Mus musculus: one gene and its partners. The protein of the gene in region 2 interacts with the protein of the main gene of each other region in a pairwise test. Links are inferred from orthologs where the notes say so. Each region holds a gene or a part of one and is shown on either strand. Other genes may lie near its edges.

What was found. The genes of interacting proteins can lie anywhere in the genome.
Region 1: the proteins of Wwp2 (region 2) and Fam189a2 interact in binary tests that used the Homo sapiens proteins (3 or more experiments, as listed by UniProt). The link is inferred for Mus musculus from reciprocal best matches to the Homo sapiens genes WWP2 and ENTREP1.
Region 3: the proteins of Wwp2 (region 2) and Ankrd44 interact in binary tests that used the Homo sapiens proteins (3 or more experiments, as listed by UniProt). The two-hybrid records come from large-scale screens. The link is inferred for Mus musculus from reciprocal best matches to the Homo sapiens genes WWP2 and ANKRD44.

The regions. Positions count from the first base shown.
Region 1 is NC_000085.6:23,978,403-23,983,373, forward strand, and holds part of Fam189a2 (protein FAM189A2), read right to left. Parts: intron 1,314-4,971; coding exon 1,184-1,313; intron 1,067-1,183; coding exon 988-1,066; intron 1-987. UniProt on the Homo sapiens protein: Functions as an activator of the E3 ubiquitin protein ligase ITCH in the ubiquitination of the CXCL12-activated CXCR4 receptor. Thereby, triggers CXCR4 endocytosis and desensitization, negatively regulating the CXCL12/CXCR4 signaling pathway.
Region 2 is NC_000074.6:107,434,662-107,440,207, forward strand, and holds the start of Wwp2 (NEDD4-like E3 ubiquitin-protein ligase WWP2), read left to right. Parts: upstream 1-1,708; 5' UTR 1,709-1,780; intron 1,781-4,488; exon of another isoform or gene 4,489-4,924; intron 4,925-5,546. UniProt on the Homo sapiens protein: E3 ubiquitin-protein ligase which accepts ubiquitin from an E2 ubiquitin-conjugating enzyme in the form of a thioester and then directly transfers the ubiquitin to targeted substrates.
Region 3 is NC_000067.6:54,660,271-54,665,241, reverse strand, and holds part of Ankrd44 (serine/threonine-protein phosphatase 6 regulatory ankyrin repeat subunit B), read left to right. Parts: intron 1-1,255; coding exon 1,256-1,343; intron 1,344-2,470; coding exon 2,471-2,588; intron 2,589-4,024; coding exon 4,025-4,241; intron 4,242-4,971. UniProt on the Homo sapiens protein: Putative regulatory subunit of protein phosphatase 6 (PP6) that may be involved in the recognition of phosphoprotein substrates.

The DNA.
Region 1 (4,971 bases), on a different chromosome or scaffold from region 2:
GTTTAGACATCCTGATGCCGCCTCCAAGAGTAGCAAAGCTTTTCACAGTATCTGGCTCTTCAGGGAAATGCCACCTATGTGGGCAAAGGGCTATCCTGTGAACTGCCAAGCCAAGGCTAGCAGATGCACATCTGCCTAGCCCAGGGGGTGCCCACATTGGGACACTTTCAGTGGCTGCAAAATAAATCTGCAAATGACACTGGAATAGGACGAGCCCTGGCCAGGAAACGTAGCAGCAGCGTCTGGAAAGCCGAGTTTCTGATTGGAAAATTCCTCGTGGAAAAACAAATGTGCTTAAGGGAAGAGAACAATGTTTTATAATCCTTTTTAGGGTAGGTGGGGCTTGGAGCTCAGTGGCGGGGCTCACAGTCTGTCCCCTTCCAAATGTAAAGTGAATTCAAGAATGGCCCACATAGCACTGCTGAAAAGCTACCCCCATCCGACATGGCGGAAAGTCGATCCATTATTTAGTGCCAGCTGCAATTTTGTACCAGTGGACAATTCTCTAGGCCATTTAAAACCTCCCCAAAGACAGAAAGCGGGAACAACAGTGTCCTTAAATTACAAGGATAAATGTAAAATGACTCTAGCATGGACCACAGGGCTGAAAAAAAAAATCTTAATTCTAGCATTAAAACCTTTGGTTACAAATGACAATGTGAATACTCACTGGGAAACTCACGTTCGTTCGAAGGAATCCTGCTCATTTCAACAGATCAAGGAAATGGATTGGGAGCCAGGGGAATAACGAGTTAACCTGCACTCTAGCCCATGGGTTCCTGGGGATAGTCTGATCATTCATGAAAAAGTTTGAAGTAGGTCTCTTTATTTCAGTGTGTTTTTTTCTTTTTTCCTGTTAACATTTTAGATCTCACTTCTAAGCCCTAAGAGTTTGAATACCTTACCTCCAGCAAAACACTAGTCAGATCATTCTGCCATGTTCTCCTCTATTGACCTATGGCCTGGCGTAGGGAAGGTGTGTGTTACCTTGAGTTATCTGCGTGCAAACTGGCTCTGCTGGGCTCGCAGCAGTTTCTGGTCCTTCTGGCATTTGGAATGAAGACTCCTGCATCAGAAAGGAAGGGAGAAGGAGGGGTCATTGTTTTTGGTTTTTGATCCTCAGAGGACCCCCGTAAACCCCTTCAGGTTATGTTAGAGCATATACTCTGGGGAGTAGGCATACCTGCTCCTGGTCAGTCTGGCTCACTACAGCTTCGTATGGAGGTGGGGGGTCCAGAGGACAGAACACTTCCACACCCTTGATGCGTGCTCCATAGATATGGGGCAGTGGGATGACATCAGAACCAACCATCCTAGAAAAAGCACCGGGTGTCAGGAGGTGCGCTCTGTACACTGGCCCTCCTACAGCAGCAGACCCTGGACCCTCTGCCTTTGCCTTTAAATTGGGAGTGGCCTGGACCTAGAGGAAAGACACTCACAGAAGCTCAGCCAAAGAGGAATAACTATTCAAGCTATCCTTAGGCAAATACCCAGGGGGTCCTTTAGAAATGACAGTGTATAAAACGTAATGCCCTTTTTTCCTTTTAGTACAGCAGTGTCCATGGGGATGGAGAGCATGGGTGGCTGCCAGGCTCTGAGGGAGGGGCTAGGGAGGGGTTGCTTAGTGTTTATGGACTTGGCAGTTGCTTACGGGAGAGGATAATGCTTTGCAGAGAGTTAGAGGTGATGGTTGCACAATGAGGTGGATATACAAAATACCACTGAAGCATATCGCTAACAACAGCCAAGGCAACTAAGGGTAAGGAGAATCTTGGTGCCCTCCTGCAGTCGTTCACAGAAAAAGCTTCTTGCCTCGGTTTCCTTCACGTCTGATTCGTGAGAGAAATTCACTGTTGGATAACTTTTTTTAAAAGGGGAAATTAATTTCAAACAAAAGGTGAGCATTGCCCCCAGCTCCAAGACAAAACAGGAGCTAGCAGAAAGGATCATAGAGTGACTCGCACATGCTCCTCAGGTCACTCCCTGACTAATGATGCACTGGGCCAGGTGGGTGGCACTGGATAAAATTCAGAAACAAGAGTCCTAGTAAGAACAAAGAAAGAGGTGGGTTAACATTCTATTTTTCTCTGAACTTGATGTGACAAACCTGGCTGAGTTGACAAAAAAGATCTGCGTCCATTTGGAATATTGATACCTCACTCCCAACAACAAAGCTATAGCTAACCGATAGTTTCAGCAGAGAAACTTTAAAAGAGTCTCGCTATTACCAAGATGCAGAGAGGCTGACTTGACAGTTACTCTGTCATGTGACTGGGACTGAAGAACCAGCTGCTGTTTTCCTGGTTAAAGCTAACTTCTCCTGGGGCTCCTCTTCCTCCCTCAACCATTCCTGCTGATGTCAGCTATTTCTACTCTGTTCTTCACACACACCCACTTCTGTTGCTCCACCACGGGATATGTGGGGTTCCTGAGACTGTACCATCTGCCACACTCAGCAACATAAGTATATGATGTCTCTGCCTTAGCACAGAACTACTCAATTATACTCCTCCTTTCCAAATTGCCTTTCTCCCAACCAACGTTAGATGCTTTCCCTTTTCAAGTACTTCTTAAGTAATAGTTTTTGTTGTTGTTAGAGAGGGTTTGATGTCCCAGTGCTTACAGATAAGCACCAGAAAACCAGACATTTTAAACATGAAAGGTTGTCTCTTCAAAGGAACTGATGCAGAACCCGTTTTTCCCACCGAGAAGGCTAGAAATGAATTTGGTTAGTAGCCTGGATGCCTTCTGCACTATCTGTATGACCACACCTGATCCTCCTCCAAGTCCTTAAGATAACATATGTAGTCTGTCTATAAATCCCAGTTTCCAGGGCTAAAGAGATGACTCATGGGTTAAGAGCACTGCCTGTTCTTTCAGAGGTTCTGAGTTCAATTTCCAGTAATCACATGGTATCCCAGAATCATCTACAATGAAATCCAATGCCCTCTTCTACCATGTAGGCAGACACGCAGATAGAGCACTTACATGCATAGACTACATAAATAAACTTTAACAAAAGAACCCATCTTTATGGAAGAAGTGGCACATACGTTAAGAGTTTCAATGCAATTCAATCCCTTAAGCTTTATTGTATACACAGAATTATGTTACACCAGAAAACTTTTCTATATTGTGCTAAACTTAAACCAAAAAACTTAAACTAAACTTGAACCAACACTGGCTACTGAGTCATATTGAACAGGACTTCTTTTTTGGCTCATGAGGATCTACAGTCTGATGGCCATAGTGTTTCCAGAGACAACACACACACACACACACATTGTTGTTGTTGTTGTTGTTGTTGTGTTGTTGTTGTTGTTGTTTTAACTGTGGTTGTAGGACCCTTGACAGAAAAATTAAAAGGAAAACCAAACTCACAAGATTCCCTGCCAGTATTTATCGCATATAATAAAAAGAAGAAAAGACATTAGAAAACACAGAACTGAAATTTTAAAGTAATTAAAAAAGCAAAAGGTAAAACAAAACAGAGAACCCTGTGCTCAGTAGGTACTAGATGACCCATAGCAATGTCTCTTCTTTAAAAAAAAATAAAATAAAATTCTCTTCTTAGAATATGAAGAAAAGAAAAGAGGGAAGCTTACAGATAAAAAGACAGACCCAAGGCCAGATGCATCTAAGCGACTGAAGGGGAGAGGCAGAAACTGGATTTAAAACTCATCTTATTTCTTGTGCCCATTTATGCTCCCCTGAAAGGATAGAGGCGAGGTTTTATACTGGCACATGACTTTGGATGTTCCCCAGAGTGGCTGTGTAAAGTGTCAAGCATCCAGTGCACAAAGAAGTCCCATGAAAACACTCTCCCTGGTCTAGAGGGTTCCTGTCAAAGCTGCCCTAAGTAGATATTCTCCATAGAACAAGGACTCAGGCATGGATTTCGTTCCAACTCTCCTACCTAGCTCATGCTGTTTAAAAACTCCCACTGCTGAGTGACTCCAAAGGACTAGACCCTTCCTAGATTTAGTGGGAGAGTCCTGACCAATGAACATCACAGCTGTCTGAATCAGAGAGGCCAACTTTCTCCAGATATGGTGAGGCTTCAGTCTTTAATCAACACCCATGAGTCATCTTTCTAGCATTTCTAAACCCTGCCTTTGCCCCTTCAGCAAAGAAAGAGAATAGCTGAATCCCTTGCCTATTGCTAGTTCTGCTTGCCTGCCTGCTCCCTGACATTCCCAACCCATGGCTATCTTTGCACCCACAGAGGTGTGGCATTCACAATAACCCATGGCTATCTTTGCATCCACGGAGGTAAGCATCAGATTTCCAAGGATGAAAAGGTCAGGAGAGTGGGCTCTCATCTTAGATGCTAAACTACCACAAAATCTCTTCCAGAAGGAAACCCAGAAATTGAACATGGCATTTTCCATAGCATGATCACAAAATGAATGACTCCTACGATGTCATTATGTCATTATGATGACCACTGATGCTGCATTTCAATGGACAGCACCAAAGGAAAGTCCATGTAAGTTACTTCTTATCACACATCACCTAGGCATATATAAGCTTATGGAGACTGTGGTGGTTGAACGAGGAATGCCTGCCATAGGCTTATATGCCTGAATGCTTAGTCATCAGGAGTGGCACTACTTGGGAGGGATAGAGTGGGTGTGTCACTGGGGGTGGGCTTTAAGGTTTCGAGGCCCAGTAGCTTTCTCCCTTCCTGATACTTGCAGATTCAGATATGGAACTCTCAGCTCCTTCTCGAGCACCATGTCTGCCTGCCTGCCATCATGCTTCCCACCATGATGACAATGGACTAAACTCTAAGCCAGCCTCAGTTAAATGCCTTCCATTATAAGAGTTGCCATGGCCGTGGTGTCTCTTTGATTCAATAGAACTCTGACTAAGACAGGGATGAACAGGATTCTTATTGGCTTGAAAGTTGTTTTCTCTGGGATCCTCTATGAGTAGTAATGGAGAAGAATCAGCTGGTAGGGGAGAGGG
Region 2 (5,546 bases):
TGTGGCCATAAAACTCAGCACACAGACAGCACCACCTGCCAACATGAAAACAGAGACGGGGGGGGGGGGGGGGGGGCAGGTGAGATGGCTCAGCGGGTAAGAGCACTGACTGTTCTTCCGAAGGTCCTGAGTTCAAATTCTAGCAACCACATGGTGGCTCACAACCACCCATAATGGAATCTGGCGCCCTCTTCTGGTGTGTCTGAAGACAGCTACAGTGTACTTATAATAATAAATAAATAAAATCTTAAAGAAAGAAAGAGAGAAAGAAAGAAAACAGAGACATAATCCACCAAAGTCCCCAGTTCTGGGAAAGTCTCTAGATGCATTCATCTCGCCTTTTGGCTTCTGTAGTTCTGTTGCTGTTTCTGCTAACTGGAGCATGTCGACCCAGGACGCGAATTTTGCGCTTAAAACCTCGCCCCGAGAAAGGCTTGATACTACACAGGGATCCTGAACACCCAGTGTAGTCACAGGGTGGCTAATAAAGACTTTCTCTTGGTAGATACCCCACAGCAAAGACACCGGACACACAGGTGGTACACAGATACACTTCAAGAGAAACATCTATGTAATAAAATACAAATGAAAATGTAATATTTCAGTTAACAAAAACCCAACAAAAATCCAGGTAATCAGAACAATTAACTCGGTGGTGGATGCCAGCCTAGGTTACATAAAATCTTGCCCCACCTGTCTCCTCTCTCACCCCTAACCCTCCACCCCAATGGTATAAACTGGTAATCCTAACTACTCAGAAGCTAAGGCAATGGAATTAAAAGTTCTTGGCCAGTTGGAGCATTTAAAATAAGACCCTGTTCCAAATAAAAACCAGAAAGGAAGCAAAATGGCTGGGAACATAGGTCAGTTGGGACGCCCTGGACTAGTCACGTTCAACTGTCAATCTTGCAAAACCCAGAAAGTTTCTGTTGTCCAGGCTACGGTGAGGTATGTCTACAATGCCAGGAATCAGGTGGCCAAGGACAGCGCTGGGTTCCAGGTCAGCCAGGGTTACTTACATAGATTCCCTGTTTGTTAATTCATAATGTTCAGTTTACTCCGTAGGGGAGGGGAGCGGGGGGGGGGGGATGGGAGTTGGTTCCCCATGGGGAAGACACGTAGGGACTCCGGAAGTTTTGAAAGGGTGTCAGGTTGTCGTGTGTCATGTCCCATGCTCCACTCCCGTCCCTCTTTCCAGTTTTGCTTCTTGGAACAACAGATGCCTTACAAAGGCCAGGGCATTTATACTTCTAGAACTGAGAACAAGGCCTTACAGAGTTGGCACAAGCTAACGACATTACATGGGATGCTCAAGTTTGATCAGTATACATCTGTGGTACCAAAACATCCTTTGCAAATTTGGGGACATGCTTAGAGTTACACGGTTTATCTGACACTCAAGTTTGGAGGGGGGGAGCGTACTGTTTTTTATCCAGCAACTCCTTCAAGACTTGACTTAACTGATCGGATGGTCTTCTCCCACCTGTACCATGGCGGGAAAACAACTGTACTTGCTTCCAAAGGCATACATAAAGACCCCGGGGCCCGGTGAGCCCTTATTTTATACGTTTGCTCGGGCACAGCCCGGGTGATCCTTGCAATCCCGGCCCTGAGCGGGTCAAACGCTCGCCGCCCGGGTCCTAGGTGGTCCGCACCTGCGCGCCCCGGCCAGCCTCTTCCGGGTCAGGTGACCGCGCACGCCCACGTGACCCGGCCCGAGTGCGGGCGCTGGAAGGCGGAAGTGGAGCGGAGTTAGGCGCCGCTGGTGTGGCCGCGGCAGGTAGGTGGCGCGGGGGCACTGGGGGGCTCGGCAGCGAGCGGGCGGCGCGGGGCAGCCAGGGGGCGGCGGGCGGCGCGAGGGGCCGGGGGCGGCGCGGGGCGGGCGCCGGGGGGCGGCGGCTTCCTGTGGGAGGGGCCTGGCGCGCGGTTCCGGCCTCCGAGGAGGGATGTCCCGGCTCGCGCCCGGGCGGGGTGGGCGCGGGGCCCGGCGGGAGTCGCCCGCTGGTGGCGCTTCCGGAAGGAGACCCCCAGCCCCGGGTGCCTGCGGTGCGGAGGAGCCGTGTCTGTCTGGGAAGGGGGCCCGACCTCAGCCGGGGAAGACTCATTTGCTCCCTGGAAGGGGCTGCCTGGGAGTGGGCGTCTGGCTTGTAGGGACAGGGAGAAAAAAATCTGGACGATGCGGCCTGGACCCCATTCCAAGAGTCTTTTTTCCTTCCGTCCTCTTTAAAAAGGATGGCGATCCGGGACTTTGATACCGGTTCTGTTCAGTTCTTTAAACTTCAGGAGGGATCCCTGAGTCTTGATCGTCTGACTCTGGTCACACCCACTTTGCCCTGTTTGGGTAGGGTTTCCACTTGTTGGGAACCTTGCCCATCAGATCGTCTTTCTTTGAGATGCTCCCGGATCGGGTCATCTTGGAGGCCACCAAAAAAAAAAAAAAAAAAAAAAAAAAAAAGACGTGTAGGTGCTTTGCTGTGATCATAACAAGACTTTTAACCTACACTGTTGTTGGCGACCTGGGCCGGCGTTACCTCAGCAACGCATTGACTGCTGAAGTCATGGACAGTTGAAAGTCTGCCCATACCGATTTGAGACCTCTCAAGCTTAAATTATGCAGCTTCCTTTACCATGTGACTGCTTATCTTGACCAGCTGTGACTAGGTGGGGTGACTGAGAAGTTTCTCTTGTGTTCCTTAGAACTGTGACCTAGATCGTAGTTTTTGAGGTTAAAAATACCCATCTTAAGATTCTTCATCCTCTAGGCCTAGGCCTGAAGATGGCTCCAAGTTCCAAGCCAGCCTAAATAAACAAACAGGCCACCCTCTTTTCCCTTCACTTTTGCTAAGGTTTGCAGAAGTGAAGCAAAGTTTATGAATGCAACGAAGGTCAGGGTTCAAATGGGACATTGACAGGAGCCAGAATCACAGGTCGCTAGGGGGGAAAAAGCACTTTGCATTAATATATTAGGAGTTGAAGACTTGGGGGGTATATTATAAGCATTTAAAAGTTAATTTTTGTAGCAGTCTCGAGAAGTCATTCACACTTTATAGATAACAAGCTAAGAGAATTGACTTAAAATAAAAGATGTATTTTTATTTGTGTGTATGTTCCTGTGTGTATGTGCCCACCAAGGACAGACAGAGCATTGGGTCCTTTGGAGCTAGAGATACAGGTGGTTGTGAGCCTCTGGATTTGCATGCTGGGAACTGACCTTTGGTCCCGTGGAAGAGCAGTGAGTGCTTTCGCCTGCATCTCTTTAGTCTCAGCCTGCCTGACATCCTCATTTTGTTTTTCTTCCTTGTTTACTGTCTTCCTGCTAGGACTGTAAATCATTCAAGGGCAGTGATCTTATTTTACCTGACTTCTTTGGCTACTAGCCCCAGGCCTGGTATGTTAGGAGTACTTGGTCAGTGTTTGAGAAGTAAATGAGTTTTTAAAGGTCACACTGCTCGGTGTATGTGGAGAACAAGGGGTTAGAGCATAAGTTTCCCGTCCCTTTCTCTGTTTAGTGTTACTGGTCTATGGAAAGCCAGAACCATGAGGAGAAGGCTTCAGTTGGCTTGTCAGTCTCTTAATTTTTTGTTGTTGTTGAACATTGCACCTTCCCACTTCCCTTCTTTTTGTAATTTTTTATTTTATTTTTTTCCTTTTGAGACAGGCTCTCAGTAAGTTGCCTGGGGTGGCCTCAAACTCCTGTAGCTCAGGCAGGCCTTGAACTTGTGATCCTTCTGCCTCCAACACAACAGTAGTTAGGATTTGAGGCCAATACCACCAGGTCTATCTTAGTCTTTCATTTAGTGACTACATCCCCATCTGCAAAGAACTGATACCAGATTCTCATTTATTTTTATTTTGGTTATTTATTTGAGACAAAAGTTTTACTGTGTAGACCTGGCTGGCCTAGAACTCATAAAGATCCAGCTGTTTCTACCTCCCAAGTGCTGGGATTAAAGCTGTGCGCTATTTACTATGCTCAACCTCTCTCCCTGTCCGGTCCAGCCAGTCCCCTCCCCTCCCTTCTCCCCCCTCCCCTCCCTTTCTCTCTGAGACAGGGTCTTTTAGCTTTTTGATAGAAGGTAGGTTTTAGCCCAGGCTGGCCTCAAACTGGTTATGTTGTGGAGGAACTTACGATAGATTCTCTACCTTCCAAGACCTGGGGTCGCAGGCCTTCATTCACCATTGTGCCTGGCTCAGCGTCTCGTCTCATTCATTTCCAGATCTCTGAAGGTTGCATTGCTTCATTCACAGATGAAGAACTGAGGCTTACTGAAGTCCTGATATTAGATTCTGGAACTAGTAAATAAATGCAAGAGTTGGCTCTCTCCTTCTATGGGTCCTGGGAACTGAGTTCCAGTTGTCAGGCTTGCTGGCAGTCACCTTTACCCAATGAGCCACTTTCTCTATAACCTAGGTCTGTTCTTCTTAGACCTATTACTTTTAATTCATAGAAGCGATAAAAAGTTTCTTTTTTTTTTTTTTTTTTTTTTTTAAAGTACAACTTCCATTTTATTTTTCCAGGGTAGTTTTCCTTCTGTCCTTACAAAACGGCCTCTTTACATGGGCTTTGGTGGAGGTCGAGGTGCAGCGCCAGCAGGTCTGAATCGTGGTGGGGGTGTTCGGTCCTTCCGGGCTTCGCGGGATCGATTCCTAACAACCTTGCTATGGATGGCACAGCTCACGCAATAATGCAGCTTGACATAGAGCTTGGGAAGCACGTAGGCGTCGAAGACGCTTGCTTCAGATATGTCCCTGACAGCAGCGGCTTCTACAATGTTCCGAATGACAAACTTCTTGATGGCCTTATCCTTGGGCACGCACCGGGCGCAGTTCGTGCAGCGAATGGGCTGCACATGGCCGCGGCCCTTTTTGGCACGACCGTTGTTTCTTCTTTTTTTGGTCATCTTGGAGCCAAGACTCGAAAGAGAAAAAAAGTTTCATCTTAAAATATTTTTAAAAATATGCTATTAGGTTGGGTATAAGTGCCTGTAATCCAAACACTTGGGAGGCAGAGGCAGGAGGATTACTGGGAGTTCAAATGTTCAGCTATAGCTTGGGTTATGAAAAGAGGAAGAAAGAAATGAAGGAAGGAAGGAAAGAAAGAAAGAAAAAGGGAGGAAGGAAGGAAGAAAGAGAAAGAAAGACGTAGAAAAAATAGAATAGGATAAGAGAAAAAATTATAATTGTACAGTGTAACTGATAATGCTGAGAAAACCCTGCTTGCTCTATACTTGTGTACAGTCTCATCCCATTGCAGGGTAATTTATAAACTGAAGAAGTTGGTCTTGGGAATGGAGGCTGGAAAGTCTGAGATGGAGGGTGTGATGGTTTGTATATGCTTGGCCCAGGGAGTGGCACTATTAGGAGGTGTGGCCTTGTTGGAGTAGGTGTGTCACTGTTGGCATGAGCTGTAATACCCTTATCCTAGCTGCCTAGGAGCCAGTCTTCCACTAGCAGCCGTAAGATGAATATGTAGAACTCTCAGCTCTGACTGCAGCCTAAACACTGCCATGCTCCCACTTTGATAATAATGGACTGAACCTCTGAAC
Region 3 (4,971 bases), on a different chromosome or scaffold from region 2:
AATGTGAGCTAATTCTAATAAACGTTGTTCCAGAAAACCGTGGAAGTTAAATTACCATTCTTTAATGACTGGCCAGCAATTAAAATGACTGTAAAACAGCTCCGAGAGGAACCTTTCTCAACACAACCTCATTGTATCCATTCAGTTCTCTCGCTGTATCCAGAGCGAGGGAAGTCTGGTGTTCTTTGTGGGGTGTGCATTGCTCAGAGAGTAAGCCATGGCCAGCATGTTAAGGATAGCCATCCTCACCTTATCTCCTGAGTGGATCCCTTGACAGCTGTAAGGCCTTGCAAAGGTTCTCCTCAGGACACCAGGGGACATGCTTTATCATAGAGGAGGAGTTTACCATCCACCCCATGAGATCTGCTTCCCAGCATCCGTTTTGGGGCCCCACCTCCTAAAGGAGCACATTCAGTTATGCACAGGGCACACACACCCTGGTACTCGCCCTCAGCCCCATGAGGCAGAGACGGCATTGGGGTTACAGGACACTTCCTGCCTACTGCGGGGTAGCTGGGGCAGGTAAGGCTCAGCAGCCCTAATGAGGGACCTGAAGATCTCTGGGTCCTCACCCAGCAGGAAGAGAAGGGACAGCAACTGCACCTGCTGCAGCACTCTTAAGACCCTGCAAGGGCAAGGCTGCAGTTTGAGGATCACCACCACCACAGAGCTCCCGTGCTGGTAAAGAGGGACCACCCAGGCTATGCTCACTCTTCTGCTTTGGTGTTCTATGTTCAGCCGCCACTAACCAATGAGAACTGTAGGTGGAATATGGAACTTAGACTTCACTGATCTACAAGAGTGGTCACCACTCTGTTTCTCTCTCTCTCTCTCTCTCTCTCTCTCTCTCTCTCTCTCTCTCTCTCTCTCTCTCTTCCTCTCATCCCTATTCTCTTCTCCTTTTTTAGAAAGAGCTGGAGATGGGCTAGACACAGGATGGTTATATGGAAGTAGAGTGGACTGACAGCAGGCGGGGACACTTACCAGCCCTCTACAGGGAGATAAGAAAGGACAGTGAGCTTAAAAAATTCCGAAAACAGAAAGGGGAAGGCAAAGATGGAAGTGTATGGATAAAAAGAAAGGGGGGATACAGGGTTTCCCTGAGCCACCTGGGCCATCTTGAACTGGAAGCCAGGACAGTCCATTAGCAGCCGTGAGAAATAACTGACTTGTCCACAAACTTCGCTTGGGAGAGAGAACCTGCCATGTTGATTTATGTAAAAAAAAAAAAAATCTCTGTCATTTTCTTTTTCAGTTATTAATGGTCACACACTGTGTTTGAGGCTACTACTTGAAACAGCAGACAATCCGGAAGTGGTTGATGTGAAAGATGCCAAGGGACAGTAAGTGTTTTCATGTTGGCCTTCTGCTATGATCAGTCACAGGAGCAGCTTGGTTGGCTTGTTGAGTAGTGGATAGGGATGAGTGCTGAGTTCTAGGATAGCACCTCTCTGTGAAACTCATGGGTCAGGAGCCTAGAACCCCGAGGTGTGGCCCGCCACCAGAGCCTGTACTAAAGGGAAGAAAGCACTCAGTGTGCGCGTCTTATTGACAGTGAGCGCCTTTTTATCCCTGCTCTAGCCATGCTTCCCAGTCGTTAGTATTTCCTCTTTCTTCCTACCTCTGACATTTGTTTTTGTTTTTGTTTCTGTTTTTGTTTTTCAAGACAGGGTTTCTCTGTGTAGCCCTGGCTGGCCTGGCACTCACTCTGTAGACCAGGCTGGCCTCGAACTCAGAAATCTGCCTGCCTCTGCCTCCTGAGTGCTGAGATTAAAGGCATGCGTCACCACACCCGGCTCTACCTTTGACATTTAAAGCTACCTACCACTTACCCACTTTCTAATAATAGCAAAATGGCAGACCTGGAGAGTTGGTTTCTGTCCTGGAAATAATAAAGAATTCCTTCAGATTTATATCTTCTCTTGAGTTTGTTTTCAGTTTCTATCTGTTGGCCTAGTCTTCGCCCGGGCTTTTCTTACAAATAGGAAGTGCAGACAGAAAGGCTCTAGGTCTGTCCCCAGGCACAGGAGCTTGAGTGACAGCTAGAGCAGGGCCCTGGTCTTTCTTCTACACTGGCCAGACTTGGCTTCAAAGCATGGAAGCTCTGTCCATCCAGGCAGATCTTGAGCAGAGACCAACATTGATTGCTAGGACAGCAGAGGCTGTGACAGAGGCAAGAGGCTCTTCTGCGTGTGCACACGCCCCAGCCGAGCCCCAGCCGGCTGGCATGGAGTGGTCGCCACATGGCCTTTGAAAATGTTAGAAGTAATGTGACTGCCCTATATGTTAGCCAACATTCCATGTGGCTTGTTCTACATGACATGGAGTAGCGAGTTAGAAACATAGGAAATACTGGGAAATTTTTGATAGAAAGAGACCTCTTCTCTCACTGGAATTAGTTTTGTTTTTGTTTTGTTTTGTTTTGTTTTGTTTTAAATCTCCTTTTAAAATACCAATTTCTCTCTCCTAGAACCCCGCTGATGCTTGCAGTAGCATATGGACACATTGATGCTGTTTCATTGTTACTTGAAAAGGAAGCAAACGTAGATGCGGTCGACATAGTGGGATGCACGGCTTTACATAGAGGGGTATGTCCATCTTCCTCTGCTTCAGTTAGGTTACCTCCTCAATGAGCTTGCTTCAGTGTTCTCTGTGTGAAGCTTTAGGGGAAAAGATGTTTCATAATATATCCAATTAGCTTCACAGTCAAAACAAAATTACAGAATTTTATACAATGACACAAATGAAAGCTACAGTTTGGCCCTGCTCTTAGGAGTTTGTGTTGGACTGTGATACCTACTGTTGGAGGGGTTCGCTCTCCTTTCTGATTACAAAATGCAAAGTGTAGAAAATTTGCAAAGTGAATTTTTTACATACAGAAAAAGAAAATCAAAATCACCAGCAATCATACTTCCTGGAGATAATCACATTTAATACACATATGCACGAGCATGCGCAGACACACACCGTGGCCTCTCTTTTTCTTAGTATAGATAAAGGACCGTTCTCCGTGGCGTAAAATATTCTTCTGTATAATTTTGTATGCAGAATTTATAATACTCATGTGTGCAGCTGCCAGAATGAATTCAGTGGTGTTGAACATTCACACTATATCTGTTGCTTGGAGCAGCAAACGATGACAATCTATGTGTCCTGTGGCCAAGTCTTTTTACACATCTGCTGATTTAATTTTTGAAGGACAAAAAAAAATAGGCTAACTAGACAAAGGTAAAAATTATAAAATTGCTATGTAGAAGTGATGTAAGCACCCTAGCTGGTGACTAAAAGTATTTTCCATGATTATCAACATAATCACAGTTCTGGTTTCTTTGCACTTCTTTTGGGCCATGCAGCAGTCTAGGGGACATCACATATATATGTCTGTCAGTGATAGCCTGTGCATACAGCAGTGATCTCATACGGTTAGAATGGAGCTGAAGACGATTCCTTTCTTGTGTAACTTTTACTGCACCTTTGCTGTTTAGATACACAAACCCTTGTGACCCCATGATGTCCATTAGGGTAATGTGTTGTGCATGTTAGCTTAGGCTTAACAGCTCTCTTGGGCAGCCTAAGAGGGGAATAGGCTGTGCTTTCTAGCATTGTGTACAGACTCTCTGAGATATTCCCAGAATGCATCCCCGTGCCCGCTGCACAATGTAAGTGTGTTGTCTCTTTAGTACTGGGCAACCTCTGAGGTCATTGTTTCTCTGCCTTCTCATAGTGAGTATACTGAGTCAGAGAAAGGCCGACTCACTTGTGTCTGACAGGGGTGGACAACCAGGATTTAACATATTCCTCCTTGATTCTGAAGCTAGTATTTTCTAAGGTATCATGATACCATCCGTAGTTATGTTTGGAGAGAGAGCTCCAAAATACTTCTCCTGGGCTTTTCTGGTAAGGATTTTTGCTAGGGTTGTTCTGCCTCCTACCTCTTAGGCCAGGTGGGGGAAGCCTTCTACTCTCAACAATTCTATCCCCAGACAACTGAGCTTTGTCTTGCATTTTAATTGCAACATGCCAGATTATGACAGGACATGAGGAATGTGTGCAAATGCTGCTGGAACAAGAAGCATCAATCCTCTGTAAAGATTCCAGAGGGAGGACACCCTTGCACTATGCGGCTGCTCGGGGCCACGCCACATGGCTGAATGAATTGCTCCAGATTGCCCTTTCTGAAGAAGACTGCTGTCTCAAAGACAACCAGGGATACACGCCACTGCACTGGGCGTGTTACAATGGTGAGTCGAATGTCATCTGAGTCGAATGTCATCTGAGTAGAATGTCATATACTAGACTTTCTAGCCTCGCACCTCTGTGACCTCAGTGGAGGTGAGAACACTGCTGTATGCTGTGGTTACTGGTGTCTGCACCCAGACACTGGTGTCTGTCTTATGTTGTTTTAAACATCCCTCATCCCCACCCCTGTGGCTGTCATGATGCTGAGTAAGGTTTAGTTTGTTTCCCTCTTCCTGTGACACCTCATCAGAGTCGCCAATGGACTTGAGCAACTGTAATCAGAGTTTCTGATCTGCACCAGATAACCAGGAACCACATGAAGTATTAAAACAATGACGGTAAAAACAAAACAGCATACAGTATAGTTCACATACAGTAGAGTCACTCATAAACGCTAGTAGATGTGTAGTTTAGATTTTGGTATTTTTTTTTAATATCCACATTCCACATTTGCTTTGTTGTGTGTGCTACTTGGAATATTCAAATTTTTTATCTCAGTTATTTGGAACAAAAGAGAAATGTGTGCTAATTGTATGCATGTCTCATAATTTTTCCTCTGAGATTATAAATAAAAAATATGCATATTCTTTAAGTGGAATTATACCACAAGTCTCATCCCATAGTTTTCTTCCTTTTTTCTTAGTGCTCCCTTAAAATCCTACTGCAGGCTATCCTTAGATACCATATGCACAATACATAGTTTTAATAGTAATATACTGATAGCTACACACA